Yarrowia lipolytica: one gene and its partners. The protein of the gene in region 1 purifies or fractionates together with the protein of each later gene. This does not show direct contact. Links are inferred from orthologs where the notes say so. Each region holds a gene or a part of one and is shown on either strand. Other genes may lie near its edges. The genes, in order: YALI1_B19388g, YALI1_F11781g, YALI1_D16656g and YALI1_D14329g.

Region 1 (5,255 bases):
TCTTGATGAAAACGCTGTCGACGCCTTTAAGCGTCGAATGCACCCTTACATGCCTGAGTTTGAGAACAAGCTGATTGTCATTCTGGATGGTATCATGGTCTACCATGACGCTCAATTCACCGAGTTGTTCGATATCAAGATTCTGGTCAGATCCAGTTACGAAAACCTCAAGTCTCGACGAGAAGCTCGATCCGGATACGTCACTCTGGAAGGGTTTTGGAAGGATCCTGAGGGATACTTCCACAACATTGTTTGGCCCGGTTACCTAAAGACCCACAAACAGCTGTTTGAAAACGAAAATCCCAACGGAGAACCCAGTAAGGACGCCACCAGAGAAGGAATCCGAATCGTGCCCACCACCGATTTCGACGTGGCCGAGACTCTTGATTGGGTGTTTGATGTCATTCTGGACTATTACGATCTTGAGTAAAGACCATGCACATATTTATAATCGTGACTCTACTTAATTAATTGTACATACATTGTAATAAATCTATCAGTTTTTATATGTCATTAGTTTATTTCTTGCCCTTCTTGCTCTTCTTGGCAGACTTGAGAGCGTTCATCTCCTCTTTGTAGATGCTATCGACACTCTCGGCCTTTCGCTTCTTCTCTTTGCTGCTGTTGCGCACAGCAAGAGTTGTGCCAGCCTTGCCGGTAGCAGCCTTGGAAGCCCCCTTCTTGGCTCCCTCCCAGTCATCGTCGTTGATCTTGAACTCGTTGAGATCCAAGGCATTGATGAGTTCTCGCTGCTTCTCTCTAAGAGCCGCGGTCACCTCATCTCCAGCCTCCTCAAGCTCGTCAGTAACATCCTCCTGGACCTCGCCAAACATATCCTCCTCGCCATCCAGCTCTCGGACATCTTCATGAAGCTGCTTGGGCATCTGCTCGTCGATGGCAGAAGAGAGCACCTCTCGGAAGTAATTGGACACCTTTCGGATGATTTTGGAGAACATCGCCATGTTTTGAGAAACAGACAGGTTGAGCTCAGCAGACATCTTGTCCATGTCCTTTCGTTGAAGACCAATACCAAGCAGAACAGCAGACTGAACAATAGACAGCTTGATGTTGGCAGGGAACTGGTCTCGGAAGTACATTGTAGCAATTGCAGGAAGCATATCGACAATGACGTGGTAATCCAACAGGTTGTTGGCATAGGACTCGAGTCGCTTCAGATCAAAGGGAGTGAAGAGTCGGTCAAGCTCGGCCTTGGTGACAGGAACTCTCTCCTTCTTGTTCATCGACTTGGCAGACTCCACAAGTGATAGAGCATGAGAAGCGGTGAACGAGCTGAACTCAAAAGAAAGAAGAGTGAGGAACCGCTTGTGAAAGTCACTGGAGAACTCGGCGAGCCAGGAGTCGTCCTGACCCTTGAGACCTCGAAGCATGACACAAGTGTGCTCACCAGTGAGCTCGTTGGCTGTCTGTCGCAGGTATACAGGTACGTAGCCGTTTCGCTTCCAGAACTTGTGCAGCTGGTTGGTAAGACCGTAAGAAACACCCATGTAGTTGAGTCGATGGGGAGGAATCTCGGACAGCTTGTTCAGCAGAGGAGGCATGGAGGCAGCGTCTCGAACCGTGATCTTATCGGTCAGCTTGCCCTTGGCAAGTTCTGCGTCGGTAACTCGGACAATAGACTGGTTCTCGAGAGACGTTCGCTCGGAGATATCTGTGAACTTTCCCTCAAAGTAATCCTGAAGCAAGTCCAGAGCTCGGCCACCGTAGCCCATACCCATGTACTCGGGGTTGGTGGCAATTCTGACGATTCGAGCGCCAGAGAGAGATGCAAATTCGTCGTCCTGGTACTGCTGGGACATGAGCCAGGGGATCAGGTCACCGCTAGATCGCTGGCCTCTAGACAAGGCGTTTCGAACACTGTCCTTTGAAATCTCACCTTCAAGCGCAACCTGGACAACAACCAGAGGCTCGGGAAGCTGGTTACCCTCCTGGGGGCCCAGAAGAACGTAGAGCTGATGAGCGGGAGCATCGGACAGCAGCTGCAGATCGTTGGGAGTGTTCTTGTAATGAGATGCCACGTAGAGAGCCATCATTCGATGCAAAAATGCCTCAGAGACCGCATGGTAGGAGAAGAGAGTGTCTCTGTTGACGGCAAAAAGCTGACACTTGTCAGGGTGAGGAGTGGCAGCATTCTTGGCCTTGGGAGCAATAGTGGCGTCGAGGCACAGCAGCTTGTTGAGCCACTTCTCGACGGGGTCACCAGGAGCGTATCGGATGGGCTCATCCAGCACAACTTCATGCAGAGTTCGGCCCATCTGAGTCTTTCCAGAGCTCTCTCGCAGCTGCTGGATCAGCTTAAGAGATAGAGATCGACCAGTACCTTCGTAACCATTGATGGTAGAAGCCATGAAGACAAGGTAGGGACCAAGCAGTTTCTTCACAACGGGGAGCGGAATTGCGGCAGCCTCATCGATTACGACCAGCTCCGCCTGACCCAGAACATGCGAGTCGCCAGGGACAATGTACTGAATTGTCTGTCGATGGGACTTGAAGATGTTGACTCGGACAATGGCCTTGTTAAAAGCAGGGTTGGTGGACTGCTGGATGTCGTAGTCAACATGCTCCTCATATCCTAGGGCATCGAATCCCTTGAAGATGAACTCGAAGAGGGTCTTCAAGTTTTCGGGGGAAGGAGAGGTGATGAAGATGTTGGAGTAGCCCTGGCCAACAGCGGCAGCAATTGCCACACCAAGAGCAGCCGACTTACCTCGACCTCGGCCAGCGGTAAGAGCAACTGTGCTCTTGAGGTTCTTCTCAACAATCGTATCGATGAAAGTCAGGATAGCCTTACCCTGGTCCACAGTCTTTGCAATCTTAACCAGGTCACCGGTGGGCTTGATGTCAGCAAGAGAATCCTTAAGGTCTCGAAGAGCCTGGACGTTCTCAGGAACATCCTCGTCCTCGTCAAGAGGAGGCAGAGCTTTGACTGTCTTGGCTCCCGAGATGGGGAGAACGTTGAGCTCGTCATCAACAACGAGACACGTTCGACAGTCATTAAGAGACAGCAAGAATCGCTCGTTGAAACGGGCAACAACATCATTGTGGGCCTCAGTTCGGTATCGGGAGTGGATATCCATGGTCATAGTATACAGTTGCTTTACGGAGGCCATGCTCTTAAGCATCATAACCACAATACCTCCACCCTCGACAGTCTCAATAGTCCGGGCCAGCAGATTAGGGGTCAGAGCCTCAAAGTCTTGCAGGATACACATGCCGTAGGTGTTACCGAGAATCTTCTCAGTGTCCTTGTAGAAGCAGTATCGAATGTTCTGCAGAGAGACAAACAGCTCAAAGGGATCCTCTTGGTTGACCTCTCGGATGCCCTGCTTGATCTCCTTCTTGATCTTGGTCTCTCGCTTCTTTCTGTGCGAGGTGAATCCCAGCAACTTGTGTTTGTAGGCCCACAGAACAGACTTGTTCATTCGAATGTCTGCGGACGACATGAGGTAGTGCAGGTTGGGGAGTTGGTTTTTCGCATTATCTCCAACAATGATGAAGAAAGAACGCTGCTTTTCCTGGACTCCGTTTCGGATCAGAGCCGGAATTCGGGGGTCGATTTGCTTCTTTCCCATTGTGAGTGTGTGTATTCACTTGGATTCCTGCAGGCGAATTTCTCTATCTAAATTTTGTCTAAAATCCAGAATTTTTTTAGGCCTTGCATGATCCTGCATGATCCGGTAGGGTAAGGCACCTTGTTGTAAGTTCAACATGGCACACGAACCAAAAGTTGATCACCACCAAAGAAAAAAACATCCCTACACAACAGATAATGTCCTCCACAGATAAGGTCCGATACGACCCGTCGTCTTTCCTGGGCGAGATTTCGGGCAAGAAGGTCAACGTTCGGGTCTCCACCGGCACCACTTTCTCTGGCGTCCTCCAGTCTGTTGATGGATACATGAGCATTGTTCTGGAGAACGCTGAGGAGCTGGTTGATGACAAGGTCGTCGGTATCTATGATGATGACGTTTTTATTCGAGGAAACAATGGTGAGTATAAAAGTGGCATTTGGAATAATGTAAAGGTTGGGCCAGAAGAAGTGGGGATCACGACAGCAGCTCTATAAGCACGATCGCCTTCAGATTAATGCGTGGGCTTCAATGCCGTTGATCATATGAATGTGAATCGATTTTTAATATGATTCCCACGGCTTAGTTGAGGCGAATAGACGACCAACTGGCCTTGTGGGCTTCTCGAGTTATCCCATCTATTACAGATTCAACAAAGATGATATATAACACCACTAACACAGTCCTCTATGTCGCTGCTGCTGACAAATAACTTATTGAGTCTTCTGTAAATATACACGGTTGGTAATGAAGGAATGTCTATTCTATGAGGTGTAGGGTTGTAAGAAAACTACAAGGTCCGCGCTGAAACATGATCAGTCTGGTGCAGCTTGTTTACAACTAATTAGCATCAGTAGACCAATCACTGGTATGTCTTGACCTTCTGCGACTACTGATATTCAGTGGTACTTAGTTATTGTGGGCCCATTTGATTGTACTTGGAACCCACCCTGTACTGTATGTACAGTATGTACAGTGATACCCTAACAGGTGACTCCAATTAACCTATGCATATTTATAACCAACACCTTCCTTCTGTGTCACGGCCCACCCTACTGCAACTAGTTGGCCACAAACACAACGCCCCCGACACAACACGAGCCCCCGCAACCCCCAATTAATATTGATACCCCCACTTTGATTGATCTCGATACCCAGACGCAATATCATGATACCAGCGAGTTAGTTGTAACCTCTTCATACCCCTCATCTCCCACTTCCTACTAACACAGAACGACGATTGGACTCATCGCCTGAGACGTCTCCCACTCGTGTCAACAAGCGAGACTCGGGACTTGCCCTTTCACCATTGTCGTCGCCCCCAGCAGCCACCCCGAAGCTTGCACCCCGATCCAAGTCGCTCTACAAGACAGGTCCTCCCTTCGTGAGTGCTCAGCAGGCAGTGGCACTTTGTTCCGCAGATGGTACACCAGCCACCATCAGACTTCATGCGCGGCTGGATCGCGGCTTCGAAGAGGAGAACGGCAGCTGGATCTGCTACAGACGTAACTATATGTCACTGTGTGCTGCGTTCGACATTGTGGAGCATTCCATCGTTCCAATGACCCCGCCGTACCCTACAGGCCCAGTGTACATCGCTAGTGGTCCTCACGAGAACGCCCAATGTCTCTATTTTGTGCTGCGAGTGGAGGCCCGTGTGTGCTCCAC
Region 2 (4,644 bases), on another chromosome or scaffold:
TCAGCAATCACACCCCACTACAAGTAGCCCGTCCCATACAAGTACTTGTACATGTACAATTGCGCCACCTAACAAAGATACATATGCCAACATAGAAGTCCCGCAGTCGTTCTGAGCAGACAAATCTGGGTACAGTACTTGTACAATCACTTGTAGAAAGGTCGAAATGAGTCCACCATATATATTCAAACCCTTACCCTACTCATCTATAATACTTGCCACGTTACACACAGTACTCGTACCAAAAACTACTTGTACTAGAGGTACTCCTAAGCCACAGCTTATACAACATGCCCTAGGGCTATTTTATTAAATGCATGTCAATACATCTATTCGACGTTGTCCTCAAAGTTCTCAACGAGGTTGGGGATCTCGTCGTCACCGGCCTCCTTGGCGGCGTCAGGGCCGCCGGCAGTCTTCTTTGCCTGCTCCTGGAGCTTGGAGAACTGAACGGCGGCCTGCTGCAGCTGCAGAAGAGCATCCTGGCCCATCTGGGGGAGGATATCAGGGATCAGCTCAGCAATGTCCTTCTGCTGGGAAGGACCAGAGATAGCAAAGGTGTTGGAGGCGACGGAGCCCTCAACGTGGACCTTGGGGAAGTGCAGCACGGTGCCGTCCTCCTTGAACATGTTGACCTCAGAGATACCGGTGATCTCCTGGGCGTTGAACTTCTTGAGGGTGGCGGACAGCTTCTTCTCGTCCTCAGAGATGTTTCGGCCAGCAACCTTCTTGCCGGGTCGTCGGGGAGTACCCTTTCCACCTGGGTTAGTACGTGTACGTTGAGAAACGTTGCGATCGTACCCGGACACGGGTATTGACGGGCGAATGGCTCACAGGATGATCAATCATTGTCATCCCAACTCGATCAAGGCCACCCCGCATCCTTCCATGTGATCGTTTATGAGTTCGATCTCGTTTGTATCCATTTTTTCCGTCCATTTTTCCACGCAGCGGTTTCGGACAAATCCAACGCCGCCAATTCAGAGATACTCACCGGACTGGGCACCGGACTTCTTCTGGAGAGCTGCGAGCTTAGCGGGATCAACAGGCATTTTGTGTGGTGTTTTTGGTTCTAGCAAAAGCGACAGTGTATATCCAGTGCAAGTTTTTTGTCATCCGCGTGCTCAGATATACAGTTCGGCATCAAGCCCTACCCAGTTGGGACGAACCGAGGGTAACCACTCAAGAGCAGGTGCAACGAGGAGGCCGCTGCGGTCACGTGACCGCATTTTTGCGGGCGACCCCCGGCCATTGGGATGGTCCCGTGTTGGCGGGTGGCCTTTTTTGGTGCTATTTACCCACACATTTACTTGTCTGGGGCGTCTGTCCTGTCTCTTCCCTTCAGGTTTTGGGATTTTGAGGGGAACAAGCATTCACCTTTTTTAGAGTAGCTAGCTACCCCAACCCGTGAAGTTTATTCCGGGAGACTTGGGGTGGAGTTTTGCGGAGGATACAGCTGTGGTAGGCAAAGGGGGGAGTCTCCGTTGTGTTCAGCTGGCCAAATTGTCCAGATAAATGTTTTCCACGAAATTTTTCAGACAGGTTATGAGCTGCAAGGTTAAAATATTTCCCGAGCTTATTCAAGATATTTTCAAAGTCAGCATCTCAGATTTCAACCCACAATCCACAACACCGTGAACGATGGCCAAAACGAGTCAGCTCAAGCGGCTCAAGGAGACGCTCAAGAAGAACGATCTGACGGGCCAGACTAATGTCAAGGGCAATAAAAAGAAGATGAACAGCGGCAAAAACCGCCAGGACAGAGACAAGGTGCTGTCTGACATCCGGCAGCAGTTCAACCCTTTCGATGTCAAGGTGGCCAGGAAGAAGCATGATATTGGAGGCCGAACCGTACGGGGCAGTGTGGGACGACCTGGACTGTCCAAGCTCAGTGGCGAGGAAGCCCGTATGGAGGCTCGAAAGCTGGAGTTGCAAAACAAGGGACGGGTTGGAGGAGTGTTTGACCGGCGGTTTGGAGAGGGTGACTCCAACATGAATCCCGAGGAGAAAATGCTGGAGCGGTTTACGCGGGAGCGACAGCTTCGGTCGATGGGTGGTGGTCGAAACAAGTCGATTTTCGCTCTTGACGATGACGATGACGACGCCGACGCTGATATGATGCTGACTCACTCTGGTCAGGCTCTTGATTTCAAGGACGATTTTGATCAGGGCGATCTGGGTATTGAGGCCGAGGAGGACGAGGAGATGGCAGCCATTCTTGCCAACCGACGCAAGCTAGCAGAGGAGCGGGGTATGGGTGCTATGGGAGTCAATCTGGAGGAGATGGACGGAGTTGATATGGAGGAGGCGGGCACTGGCCGAAAGAAGAGCAAGGAGGAGGTCATGAAGGAGATCATTGCCAAGTCCAAGTTCCACAAGGCCGAGCGACAGGCAGCTCGTGACAAGGACCAGGCGATTATCGAGGAAATGAACGACGAGGACACCATGAATGCTCTGATCCGGGAGCTGGGATCTATCAAGGCCAAGAAGGTGGTGACAGCTCTGGACCAGAAGGAGAAGGAGTACGACCAGAACTTCCGAAACATGATTCTGGACCGTCGAGCCAAGCCTCAGGACAGAACTAAGACTGACGAGGAGCTGGCCAAAGAGGAGGCTGAAAAGCTCAAGAAGCTGGAGGATGAGCGACAGGCCCGAATGCGAGGCGAGGTTGCCATTGACCAGGGCGAAGGCGATGATCTGGACGGCAATGTGGCGTTTGACTTTGAGAATTCCGAGGAGGAGGGTGAGGATGATGAAGACGAGGCCGAAGATGATGATGATGAAGATGTTGAGATTCATGAAGTAGATGAAGACGAAGATGAGTCTGGCGATAAATCTGGTGATGAATCTGGCGAGGAGGAGACTACAAAGTCCGAGCCAGCCTCAAAGTCTTCCTCCTCCACTCTAGCATACACATTTCCCATCCCCAAATCACACAAGATGTTCTTGGAGACCACATCGGCCTACCCTCTGGACCAGCTGCCCACCATCATCGACCGGATCAACGTTTTGCATCACGCCTCGCTCAAGGAGGGCAACAAAGAGCGTCTAGCCAAGTTTGCATGCGTGCTCATCGACCATCTCATGTACCTCGCCGACGAAGAGGAGGAGGACGACTTTGAGTGTTTGTCTGAAGTCGTCGCTAAAGTGCACACTTTGGCGGAAACTCACAGTCCTACTATGGCTGCTCACATCAGAAAGAAGTTGGAGGCTCATCAGGCCGACACTACAGTTACGGCCGGTCATCTCATGCTGTGGACTTTGATTGGCATGATTTTCTCCACGTCCGATCATTTCCACCTGGTTGTGACGCCTGCGGTGCTCGTTATGACCCGTTTCCTGTCTCTGTCCACCTTTGACTCCATTCCCAAGTGCATTGCCGGGCTGTACACCGCCCAGCTGTTGATCCAGTACCAGCGAATTGCCAAGCGGTTCATTCCCGAGATTGCCGTCTTCCTGGGCCGTCTGATTGCTGCTCTGGAAGGCACTGAGACTTCTCTTCCCATGGCTTCTCTTTTCAAGATTGCTCCTATCAAGGGTTTCACTCCTGGTAAGGCTTCCCACAAGTCTACCGATAAGACCATCTCAATGAGATCAGCCAACCGATCCATTCTGAGCAAGAAGGAGGTGGCCACGCTATCTCAGGAGCTCCATAACCAGGCCGTGTTTTCCGTCTCCAAGCTCATGGACACATACAAGGACATTTCAGCCTTCCCTGAGACTTTCGAGTTCTGCGAGAACATTCCCGAGCTTGCAGACAAGTATAGCCGAATCACCAAGTTCAAGTTGGCTGACCGAAAGCCTCTCACTCTACACAAGCACCGACCCCTGGCCATCAAGACCATGGCCCCCAAGTTCGAGGAAAACTTCAACGTGGACAAAAAGTCGTACAACCCGGATATGGCGCTACAGGAGACCCAGAAACTTCGAGCCGAGCTCAAGAAGGAGAAGAAGAGCGCGCTGCGGGAGATCCGAAAGGACGCCGCCTTCGAGGCCCGAGAAAAGATCCGAGAACGACGAGAGAAGGACGACGCCTACCACGAAAAGATGGCTCGACTGGTGCGATCTGTGCAGACCGAGGAGGGAGCCGAAAAGAACGCCTACGAGAGAGAACGGGCCAGCAGAAAGCGAAAGCGATAGATGCAGAGCGGAGATATATAGAGAATTGTTTATTGTTGCAAGTAACCACTCGCTTCGCTCGTGGTTGCTGGTTGTATTCGTAGATGTAAGACGAGTAGAGTACTTACATAGATACTAGACACTTGAAATAACGGTTTCATTTGCTCACATCATTTACTATTGATATACATAGTCGGTGTATTATTCGTCTCTGGCGCAGCGTCCAGGAACTGTTTGATGAAGATGTTCATCTACAATAGATCTACTTCGATTTGCCTACAGTCCATTCATCTCACACAAGTCAATAAATAAATGCATTAAGTCAGGCGCCCAGGTTCATGTTGTCGGTCTTCTTGTAAAACTGGTTGAGCATGTCCACCACTCGTTCCTTGTCCTTGGGCTGCTCGTCATTGTCCATGTCTCTGTTTGAAGTCGTCTGATCTATGAACGACTCGTCGACATCGAAGTTGATAAGATCTCTTCGAGGAGCGGCTCCGGTGGCTGTTCCTGATGTGGCAGTAGTAG
Region 3 (5,269 bases), on another chromosome or scaffold:
GGAGCACCGCTTCCACAGGCGTTACCAAGGCCAAGAAGAACGAGCCCACAACCTCGTTGTCATCCATGGCCCAAAAGTCCAACGAGGAGGCTTTGTGGGGCGCTCCCGCTTCTTCGTCTTCTTCCACTCCTGCTCCTGCTTCTAAGCCTGCGGAGACCGGCAACCTTTTGGATCTGTAAATGTGGCCCATGTAGACATGTTAGACCAGTAATGAATAATGATTTGATGAATACGGAAATGGAAATGAGTGGCCGAAAAATGGCAAACATATAGACGGGAACCAAAGACATTGTAACGCAAGTGTGACTTTGTTCAGTGTGTGCATTCTACCCCAGATAGTTTAACAAAATGTTCAACTATATTACTCCGATCAGTAGATGAGAATGAGAGTGTACTGTACCAGACTAAAGCACTCAAAGTCATAGGCATCGATCACTAGCACACTACGTGTGTGCATACTTCATAACACTTAAATATATACCAAGCCTCTATATATGGCTGACGAGATTTTAGAATGAAGGACACTACTTTTGAGGAGCATCCAGAGGGTTGATGATAGCTCCGGGCTTGACAATGACTCGGGGCTTGATGAGCTTCTGGTGGGTAGTCTCCGTGGTCCACTGCTGGCCCATGGGCATCTTGAGGTAGGCCTCGTACTGCTCGACAGACTCGAAGGGATAGGGGACCGACTTGACCTGGTACTTGTCCGACTTTTTGTCCGACTTTTCCGAAATGATCACGTTCTTGAGATCTCGATCCTGACGCTTCTCGACGGCCACACCCTGGATCTTCTTGACAAACCGCTTCTTGGGCGCCTTCATGCCCTCTCCTCCCCAGCCTCCCCACCCGGGCAGGGTCATGTCGATTTCCTGATCTCCTTCGTCGGCGATTCGCTGTCTCTTTTCGGCCATGAACTCTTCCTCGACGATATCGTCTCCTGCAAAGGCCCGCTTGATCATATCCTGCTTGAAAGAGATACCCTTGTCAGTGTCGGCCTCTCGATCCTGAGTCACGAGATCAAGAGTATCGGAAGTGTCAATGAGAATGTTATCTTGCTTGCGGGCCTTTTTGCTCTTCGCACTCTCCACCACCCGGCTCTGATGCTTGGCCACCTTGTGGGCCAGCCGGTCTCGTGCAGAAGCCTCAGCCTCCATCACAGGCTTGACCTTGTTGCTCTTGTGGATGTTGGTTTCGGTGAACCAGGGGTTGGAGGCGTCGTCATCTGAATCAGAATCGTCGTCCTGTGCACCTCCTTCCTTCTTTTTGTCGCTCTTGACCACAGTAGTCACGTTGTCGTTATCTCTGTCGTCATTATCATCCTCATCATCATCAGACTGAAGATCAGCCTTTCGCTCAGAGTCAATCTTGACAGCAAGCACATCGGCAATAGACCGTTTGGTTCCGGGCGCGTACTTTCGTCGACCCTGGTTGAGAATCTCGTTGGCAGTGTCAACTCGACCTTCGTCCTCGTCGTCACTCTGCCCAAGTTCCCAGTTGGCCTTGGCTCGATCGAGCTCCTGGATTCGCTGCTGGTTCTCCGTCTTCTGACGAGCCTCAGCCTCTCGCATGAACTTCATGCCAAGCAGACCCTTGCCCAGATTAGCTCCCTCAGCAGGCTCATCAGGATCAACCAGAGCGTCTCTGTTCTGGGACAGAAACTGGTCGTCGCCCAGATTAGAGTCAATCTGCTCGTCGCCATCGTTGTCGTCCCGAGCAGACATCTTCTTTCGCAGACTTTCACCTCGTCGAAGCATCTCCTCCATCTCTCCTCGAGTCTCGGCATCCTTGGTCAGACCCTGCGATACCATTCGCTTGGCCCACTTGCCCTGGTTCTTGTGCTTGAGCGACATTCGCTCCTGAGCTCGCTTGATGTCGTGGTCCTCCTGGTCACTCTCCTCGTCGGACATCATGGCGTCTCGGAGCCGTTCTCGCTCTCGCTTGTGGATCTTTCGGTACGTTTTGGACTTGATCTTCTTGATTCGCCGCGCCTTTTGCTCCTCTCGGAACATTAGCTCTCGCATTCGTCGAAGCTCGTTTCGTCGGGCAGCTAGCTCCTCCATAGACATGTTTTTGGTGGCCAGCTCCTCAAACTTTTGTGCCTGCGACTCGTCGGCAAGAGCAGAAGTCTTGAGGATACCGGCAATCTTCTTCTCCATAGCACTCTCGGGGGCCAGCGCAGAAATACCGGTGTTGGGCAGCTGCTTGGCCTCCTCATCAGAGTCGTAGACGGGAAGACGGGGGAAAACCAGATGCTCAGCATCCTCGTCCTGGGCAATCAGGTCGTCGAACTTGGTCAGCTCCTCTCGCGTCAGATCAAGAGCTGCCTTACGTTCCACCTTGTCCTGGAGACGTTTACTGAGAGGCACAGCCACATGTTGGGGCTTGTTTTTGGACTTGCCGTCGGGCTTGCCAAGAAGAGACAGACTAGCAGCTGCCTTCTTGTCCACACCTGAAGTCAGGTCCGAAAGAGACAGCTTGCCATCATTGTTCTTTTTCGACACTGTCACGCCAAACTCATTTTCCTCTTGGTTGTTGTTCTCGTATCGTCGTCGTTTCTCGTACTCAGCATCCTCGTCGTTCTCGTACATGTTGGAAATGAGAGATCGAAGCTTGTCGGCCTTCTCCTCATCAAACTCGGTATCGATATCGGAAAAGACAGATCCGTCCGAGTCCTCCTCATCAGAGTCGTCGTCACCGTCATCAGAATCGTCGTCGTTATCAGAGTCGATCTCCTCTCCGTCAGAAACGTCCTCGGAATCCGCATCCTGTTCCTGCTCAGATCCTCCCTCCTCAGACTCATCATCTCCATGTGACTCGTCATCCTCCTCCTCCTGAAGATTGAAAGAAGTGGTAGCCTTGGTCTTTGAGCTCTTCTTTGCATCCTCCTTTTGGGCAGCCTTCTCACCGCTCTTCTTCTTGAGGTTCTCCTGCTGACGATCGTCCAGATCCCAGGCCTCGGAAAGATCCACAAACTCCTCCTCGTCCACAGAGTCGTACTCGTCCTCCATGGCCTTGAACTTGGCCTTGGCCTTGGACTTGACGCCGAAAGAGTCCAGAATCTCCTCGTCGCCGTCGTCAGAGCCAAACGCCTCGTCAGAGTCGATTTCCGAGTCGTCTTCCTCCTCCTCCTCATCGCCAGGCTGATACACCTTTCTAGTTCCGTCCTTGTTGAACCGAACAATACCGTCATCGTAAACATCGTCAATGTCGTGATCCTCGGAGTCGTCGGAGTACTCCTCCCCGTTCTTACGGGCCTTCTTTCGCTCCTCAGCCTCGGCGATTTCAAAGGCGTTCAACAGAGCATGCTTGCCTCGAGACTTGGGTACGGGCTTGGAGGGCTCGGTTTCGTTTTTGTACGACGTGGCTCGCTTGGACGAAAACACCTTGCCGGCGGTCGTGGTTCGCCCGGACCGGCTGCTTTTGCTTCGTTTTCCCATACTGTGTGGTTCTGAAAATGGATGGCAGAGATATATCGCTCCGTGCGTCTTACAATATTTTTTTAGACTTTGGCAAAACTTTATGCACGGTTTTTCTACACCAGTGGTGACTGGCGGGACTGGTACTACTTGTAGTAGAAGAGGACACACACTTTTAGTAGACAAGGCGGAGATTTTTTGAGATATTGATGAATGCTCAGAAGCCACCTTTTACAGACCATAAACTCGTTTACATGATAAGAATTGCCTATGGGAAGAAAAGGAGGGTGATAGTACTGTTGTTGCAAGGCTGGGCACTACACGCACACGATTCAATACGAAGTGGAGACAAGCCCCTTGGTGGCGATATACTTACTCAAAAGAAATGCCACATGATATTGTTTTGCTGCTACAGACATTTCTTTTCTTCCCGTGCCATCGGTTTTGGCGTTTCTGAACTCTGGATCGTTCCTCAAACAGTTGGTGATCCCAGACTACCCTCCTTCTGCGCCATGTTCATCTTAGCATATAAGTCTATCAAAACTATCCTATTTACTCCTCGTAAACAATTTCCTTTTCCCAAGAATCGTCATACTCCTCCTTCTTGTCCTCCTCAATCTCCAGATCGGAGGGCAGCTTGGCGTACATCTCCTGAATGTGCTGCACCACCTCTGGGTCGCAAGAAGCCTCGCCAAATTGCTTGGTTTGCTTCTCGTACAGCTTGGAGGCTCGCTGGAAGGCAGAAGCTGCGGCTACAGCGTGTGTAAGGTCCTCCTTGTCCTGCTCCCAGGCCGTGAAAGAGGCCAGGCCAGCCAGATAGAAACCCTCAATCTCCTCATCATTGAGATCGTGGATTCGAACCGACGCCTCCAGAGCCTGCTCAAGCATGCCCATCTCAATGAGCATCTTAGTCAGTTGCATGATGGAGGGAAGAGAAGGCTCCTGGTCCACGGCAAAAATCTCCCATGCCTTGGCAAGAGCCTCCTTGGCCTCCTCATTCTTCTGCTGACTGATTCGCACGCTGGCCACCACGGCCCAGCTCTCGGCATGCTCATTATCGGTCTTGATAGCTTCCTCCATCAGGTTGACACATTGGGTCTCGGCCTCTTCCTCCATGCACAGGTCGGTCATCCAGATTTCGACAATTCCACACAGCGTTTCGCACAGCTTTCGCTTCTTGTATGCGAGTGCCTGCTTGGTGTGGTCGGAGTCCTGGTCCAGCGACCCCGAACCCAGCTTGTGCTCGTCGTTAGCAATGTCCTGTTTGAGGCCCTCAATTCCCTTGTTGTACCACTCAATGCCCTGTCTGCCTCCGACCAGCTGGCCCAGCCACAGAAACTTCTCGTAGCCGCCCTTGGATCCGTCTGGATCCGCGTCGGCCGCCATTTTGATGTGATTGTACGCCTGCTCGGGCTCTCCGATTTCCAGTAGAGCTTCTCCTAGTAATTGGAGCGCCAAAAGATCGTCTGGGGCCGTGGACAGGTGTTTTTGCAGCTTCTCGATCGCCATGAGAGGCTGGCTCGTCGCCATGTACTCCTGAATCTTGCCGTAGTCCATTGTAGATGTGTAGTTATGGGGGACCATGGACGTTGTGTTCCGTATGCATGCTGTAACAATTTTTTTGAGTTAGGTTTCCAGAGGCGAATAGTGTGATAGAGCGAGGACCTCGATGGTGGTATTGTAGAGAAATGTGTGTGTGTTTTTGGGGAGGTGAGTCGGTTTACAGTCTCGATTTTCGGTATTTTGACCTTTTACCCCCCATTTTTACGTATTTCGTAGAAAATCAGAGAATTTCGGTCAGATATATTTGTTCAAGTACAGGCTAACTAAGATACTGATAGTAGATCAAGTTT
Region 4 (3,829 bases), on another chromosome or scaffold:
ATGACGCGGCCAAAGAGACACAGAAAATGTATGATGAACATCTGGACAAAGCCAGATACCACCAGGACCTGTCATATAAGATGAGGAACAGGTTCAGAGGTCAAAAACGCGCATTGGAAGCCCAAGACCAAAGAGACAACCTTCTCAAGGACAAAATGGGACTTCTGCGGGATCTACCTCTTGCTAAGGAAGCGCAAGTGATGGTTCCTCACCTGGAAAGGGGTTTAGTGGCGGAGCAAGAACTCAGGTTGAAGTCTCTATCCCACGGTGGACTGTTTGATTCTACCAAGCAGAAAGGATCACTTGCACAACAAACTAGAGAGCTCTCCAGAACGCTACAGTCTAAGCCACGGCCGAAATTGAAACTCAGAGGGATCAAGAAACCGGCCAAACAATAATGCCAGTATATACTGTACTTTTACTACTATTTATTCTTATTACACTACTTAATACGCCCTGTATACTCTTCATTTTCATTTGGCACCTGCCTCTATTATTAAAGTACATCTACTTAAAACCCCATGCTAAAACCACTGATACTAACCAAAGATTCGGAGACCGTCGTCGGGAATAACCAACTCCTGCTCCTCCTTTTCTTCCTTTTCTTCCTTCTCCTTCTCCTCTCCATCATCGTCCTCGTTGAAGTTGACTCGCTGCCCCAGAAGACCGGCAAACAGCTCGTCGATCTGATCGTCCTCCCAGGTGAAAACCGGCCGGGGAGCAGCAAAGTTCTGCACCTTGTCCTGCACATGGTATCGCAGCTTTCTACCCTTGGATGCTCTTGTGTCCACGTTCTTCTTGGTCTTGGCCTTTGTGGCAGTCCAGGTCTTGACGCCACTGCTTTGAGAGCCGGAATCCACCATTCGTCGGTCAATCAGATCCTTGAGTAAGTTTCGGTAAAAGTCTGAGTCATCAAAGATGTAGTAGTTTTCGCCCTCGGCGTCCTGAATGGCGCCCATCTGTTCCTCGCCAAGAATGACAACGTTGGATCGATTCATTCGAGTTCGCTTGACAAGTCGGTCCATGTCCGCCAGAGTAGCAGCGACCTGGTTGGCAGAAGACTGGTTCAGAGCCTTGAACTTGGAGGAGTTGAGAGCGGAGGCCGCAGATGAGGCCTGCACCTTCTGAGACCACTTGCTCAGCACAGAAGTCTCGTATGCCTTGAATTCTGTATCCAGCTTGTCCATGTTATCCAGAGTGGCATCAAAAGTTCGCTTGGTCGATAGCTTGACGGAGTCGGCAGCAAACACATTGTCCTGCACAGCCATGTTGTGTCGCATCTTGGCTATTTGGGAGATGAAGTCCGACAACTTTGCCTTTGTGTCTTGAAGAGTGTTGGTGATGTCTTCACCGAGCTCCTCGGCCTTAGTATCGCTGATAGGAAGAGCGTTGGCAGACTGGACTGCCTTTTGGAATGTGATTCGCGCGTCCAGAAGTGTCTCGTATAGATCGGTCTGTTTGTGAATGGCGAATCCCTTTTGTGCGTCGGAAACAATAGCCTCCTTGGCCTGCTGCTTGGACGCCTTCTTTTCCTCCCTCAGCAGCTCCTTGAGGGTGGCTCTAGCCGAGCTGTCATTCTCGTTCTCAGACAGCTCTTCGTCAGACTCGTCCTCATCCTGCTCATCCTCCATGTCTTCATCTCCGTCTTCGTCCTGGTCCTCTTCATCAACCTCAACTTCGTCGTCAATGAAACCATTGCCTTCTCCCTCCTCATCGTCCTCCTCATCGTCCTCGTCGTCCTCATCAATGAAACCGTCAGCGCCATCGCCGTCCTCGTCCTCGTCGTCATAAAGAGCCTTCCTGCTCACCTTGCCGGCCTTGTACTTGGGGTTTAGAGCAGGAGCATCATCTCGCAGCTTGCTCTTGCCGACCTTGACATAGTGCTCTGTCGCTAGATCACTGTCGTAATCCACGTCTCCACCGCTCTCGGAACCATCGTCACGGTCCTCAAAGTTCTCGATATCCACATCCTTGGGCTTGGGGTTAGCCAGTTGAGAAATCTGCTCGGCCAGAGATAATTTCGCCATGTTTGTGTACTGTTTCAAGTCGAGCCTGCACTCTGTCAAACTGTAGTCAAAAAAAATTCCAGACCTGCCAAAATTTCGCTATCTTGCATATGCAGGGTAACCCATGACGAGCTGGACAGTAGGCAGAGACTAGCCCAGGAATGAAAGAGATAAATGAGACGGCGGCCACAGTGGTGATATCATAAGATGTTGATTGGTCATACTGTTGCTCTGGAACACAGAAAAATCTCTCCATTCACCACTCCTCATAACCTGATCCCAGCATCCCTCATGCCTGTCTCATGCACCTTTCTTCCAAGTTATCCAAGCTCCCTCCATACACACCTGCCTTCCTCTCAAGAACCACATAGACATGGCCAAGCTGCCGACTAACTGGAAGCAAAAGTACCTGAAATCACAGGCCGAGGCGCGCACAAAAAAGGTGTCGGCGATATCGCCCATGGAGGTGCGAAACGGAACGAAAAAGTCGCTGCAAAAGGCCCTGGCAGAAGCCGCCGACGAAGACGAGGAGGACGACGAAATCTCGACTCAGGTGGCAAACGAGGTCGAACAGCGACTCTTTGACCTCTACGGAATCTCGCCGGAATACAAGTCGGCCGTCCGAACCCGCCTGGTGAGTTTAAAGAGTAAGAACTCCACAATAGCCGTGGAACTATTGTGTGGAGCAATTGAGCCTCAGGCGTTTGCTGAATACACAGTTGAGCAACTGAAATCGGACCAGCGCAAAAAGGAAGAACAGGCCCTGAAAGATGAGAACCTCAGACAGGCAACCATGGAGAAACCAACCAAGGAAGATATCAACATGTACAAAGACGGACGAGACCGAGAAAAGTGGGGAGTGTCTAGATCGGCTGCTGCCATCGATGATGATTAGAGAGAGAGAGAGAGAGACACACACACACACACACAAGATGGTTGTGTGATAGGGCTAACTTATAAGTTGCAGGCTGTGTTTTGTACAAGTACTGTATTTCTACGTGTAAATTATTAATAAATCATAATCCTTATTCAGGTGCCGAATATTCTTCATCAATGGTTATGACACCATTGGAACCAGTCGACTTGCTCTTAGGCGTATTCTTACCAGCCGGCTCGGCAGATGCGGACTTTTCCTCCTCGGCAAACTTGTCTGTCTTTTCCTCCTCAGCAGACTTGTCCGATTTGTCCTCCTCCGCAGATTTGTCAGCTTCCCCTTCTGCTTCGGGCTCAACAGTGGTCTCTGTGTTGCCTTGGTTAGCATCGGCCATCTCTACATCCGAGTCCTGGGTAGATTTCTCAGGCTCCTCGGTGGGCTCCTTTTCTTTCTCCTCCGAATTGGACCGAGTGCCACTGTTGCTTGAGGAACCATTACTGGAGGCCACAGCTGGAGGACCCTTGGTCGTCACGAGCTTGATGTTCTCACCCACCTTGTTGGAGCAGGCCTTGATGAGATTGGTGGCCCGCAGAAGAATATCCTTTCGAGTAACCCGCGTCTTCTCTTTTTTGCCATCTTCCTTCTTTCCAGCAGTGGTCGCTGTAGTAGCAGGAGCAGGAAGAGCAGGAGGCTGGGCACTGCCTGGCTGAAACTCAAACTTGGCTCCATCAAGAACCACTGGCGTAGATGAGCGGCTCTTGTTGTCCGCCAGTAGTGAAGTACCAGCGTATTCAATGAGCATCTTGAGATACAGACAAACAACTGTGTCATCCACTACACCTGTGGATCCAAAGCCGTTGTTCAGCCGTCTGAACTCAGATGCATAGTACAGCAAAGACAGCAGATACGAAGCCGGCTCCTTGCTCTTGGTGATCTTATCCTGCAGACC

What was found.
Region 2: the proteins of YALI1_B19388g (region 1) and YALI1_F11781g purify together in Saccharomyces cerevisiae (affinity purification with mass spectrometry; 3 studies listed by BioGRID). This does not show direct contact. The link is inferred for Yarrowia lipolytica from reciprocal best matches to the Saccharomyces cerevisiae genes KRE33 and NOP14.
Region 3: the proteins of YALI1_B19388g (region 1) and YALI1_D16656g purify together in Saccharomyces cerevisiae (affinity purification with mass spectrometry; 3 studies listed by BioGRID). This does not show direct contact. The link is inferred for Yarrowia lipolytica from reciprocal best matches to the Saccharomyces cerevisiae genes KRE33 and UTP14.
Region 4: the proteins of YALI1_B19388g (region 1) and YALI1_D14329g purify together in Saccharomyces cerevisiae (affinity purification with mass spectrometry; 3 studies listed by BioGRID). This does not show direct contact. The link is inferred for Yarrowia lipolytica from reciprocal best matches to the Saccharomyces cerevisiae genes KRE33 and BFR2.

The regions. Positions count from the first base shown.
Region 1 is NC_090771.1:1,935,250-1,940,504, forward strand, and holds YALI1_B19388g (uncharacterized protein), read right to left. Parts: upstream 3,591-5,255; coding exon 519-3,590; downstream 1-518. Other genes in the region: YALI1_B19348g (uncharacterized protein), read left to right, coding at 1-430; YALI1_B19390g (uncharacterized protein), read left to right, coding at 3,788-4,007, 4,820-5,255. UniProt on the Saccharomyces cerevisiae protein: RNA cytidine acetyltransferase with specificity toward both 18S rRNA and tRNAs. Catalyzes the formation of N(4)-acetylcytidine (ac4C) at positions 1280 and 1773 in 18S rRNA.
Region 2 is NC_090775.1:1,175,143-1,179,786, reverse strand, and holds YALI1_F11781g (uncharacterized protein), read left to right. Parts: upstream 1-1,641; coding exon 1,642-4,140; downstream 4,141-4,644. Other genes in the region: YALI1_F11787g (uncharacterized protein), read right to left, coding at 330-760, 995-1,052; YALI1_F11729g (uncharacterized protein), read right to left, coding at 4,442-4,644. UniProt on the Saccharomyces cerevisiae protein: Involved in nucleolar processing of pre-18S ribosomal RNA. Has a role in the nuclear export of 40S pre-ribosomal subunit to the cytoplasm.
Region 3 is NC_090773.1:1,662,223-1,667,491, forward strand, and holds YALI1_D16656g (uncharacterized protein), read right to left. Parts: upstream 3,438-5,269; coding exon 525-3,437; downstream 1-524. Other genes in the region: YALI1_D16609g (uncharacterized protein), read left to right, coding at 1-179; YALI1_D16672g (uncharacterized protein), read right to left, coding at 3,969-5,000. UniProt on the Saccharomyces cerevisiae protein: Involved in nucleolar processing of pre-18S ribosomal RNA.
Region 4 is NC_090773.1:1,430,935-1,434,763, forward strand, and holds YALI1_D14329g (uncharacterized protein), read right to left. Parts: upstream 2,028-3,829; coding exon 540-2,027; downstream 1-539. Other genes in the region: YALI1_D14304g (uncharacterized protein), read left to right, coding at 1-398; YALI1_D14333g (uncharacterized protein), read left to right, coding at 2,380-2,901; YALI1_D14391g (uncharacterized protein), read right to left, coding at 3,032-3,829. UniProt on the Saccharomyces cerevisiae protein: Involved in endoplasmic reticulum to Golgi transport. Involved in a protein-transport step blocked by brefeldin A, which disrupts the Golgi apparatus and its incoming protein flux. May also be involved for mass growth or cell proliferation.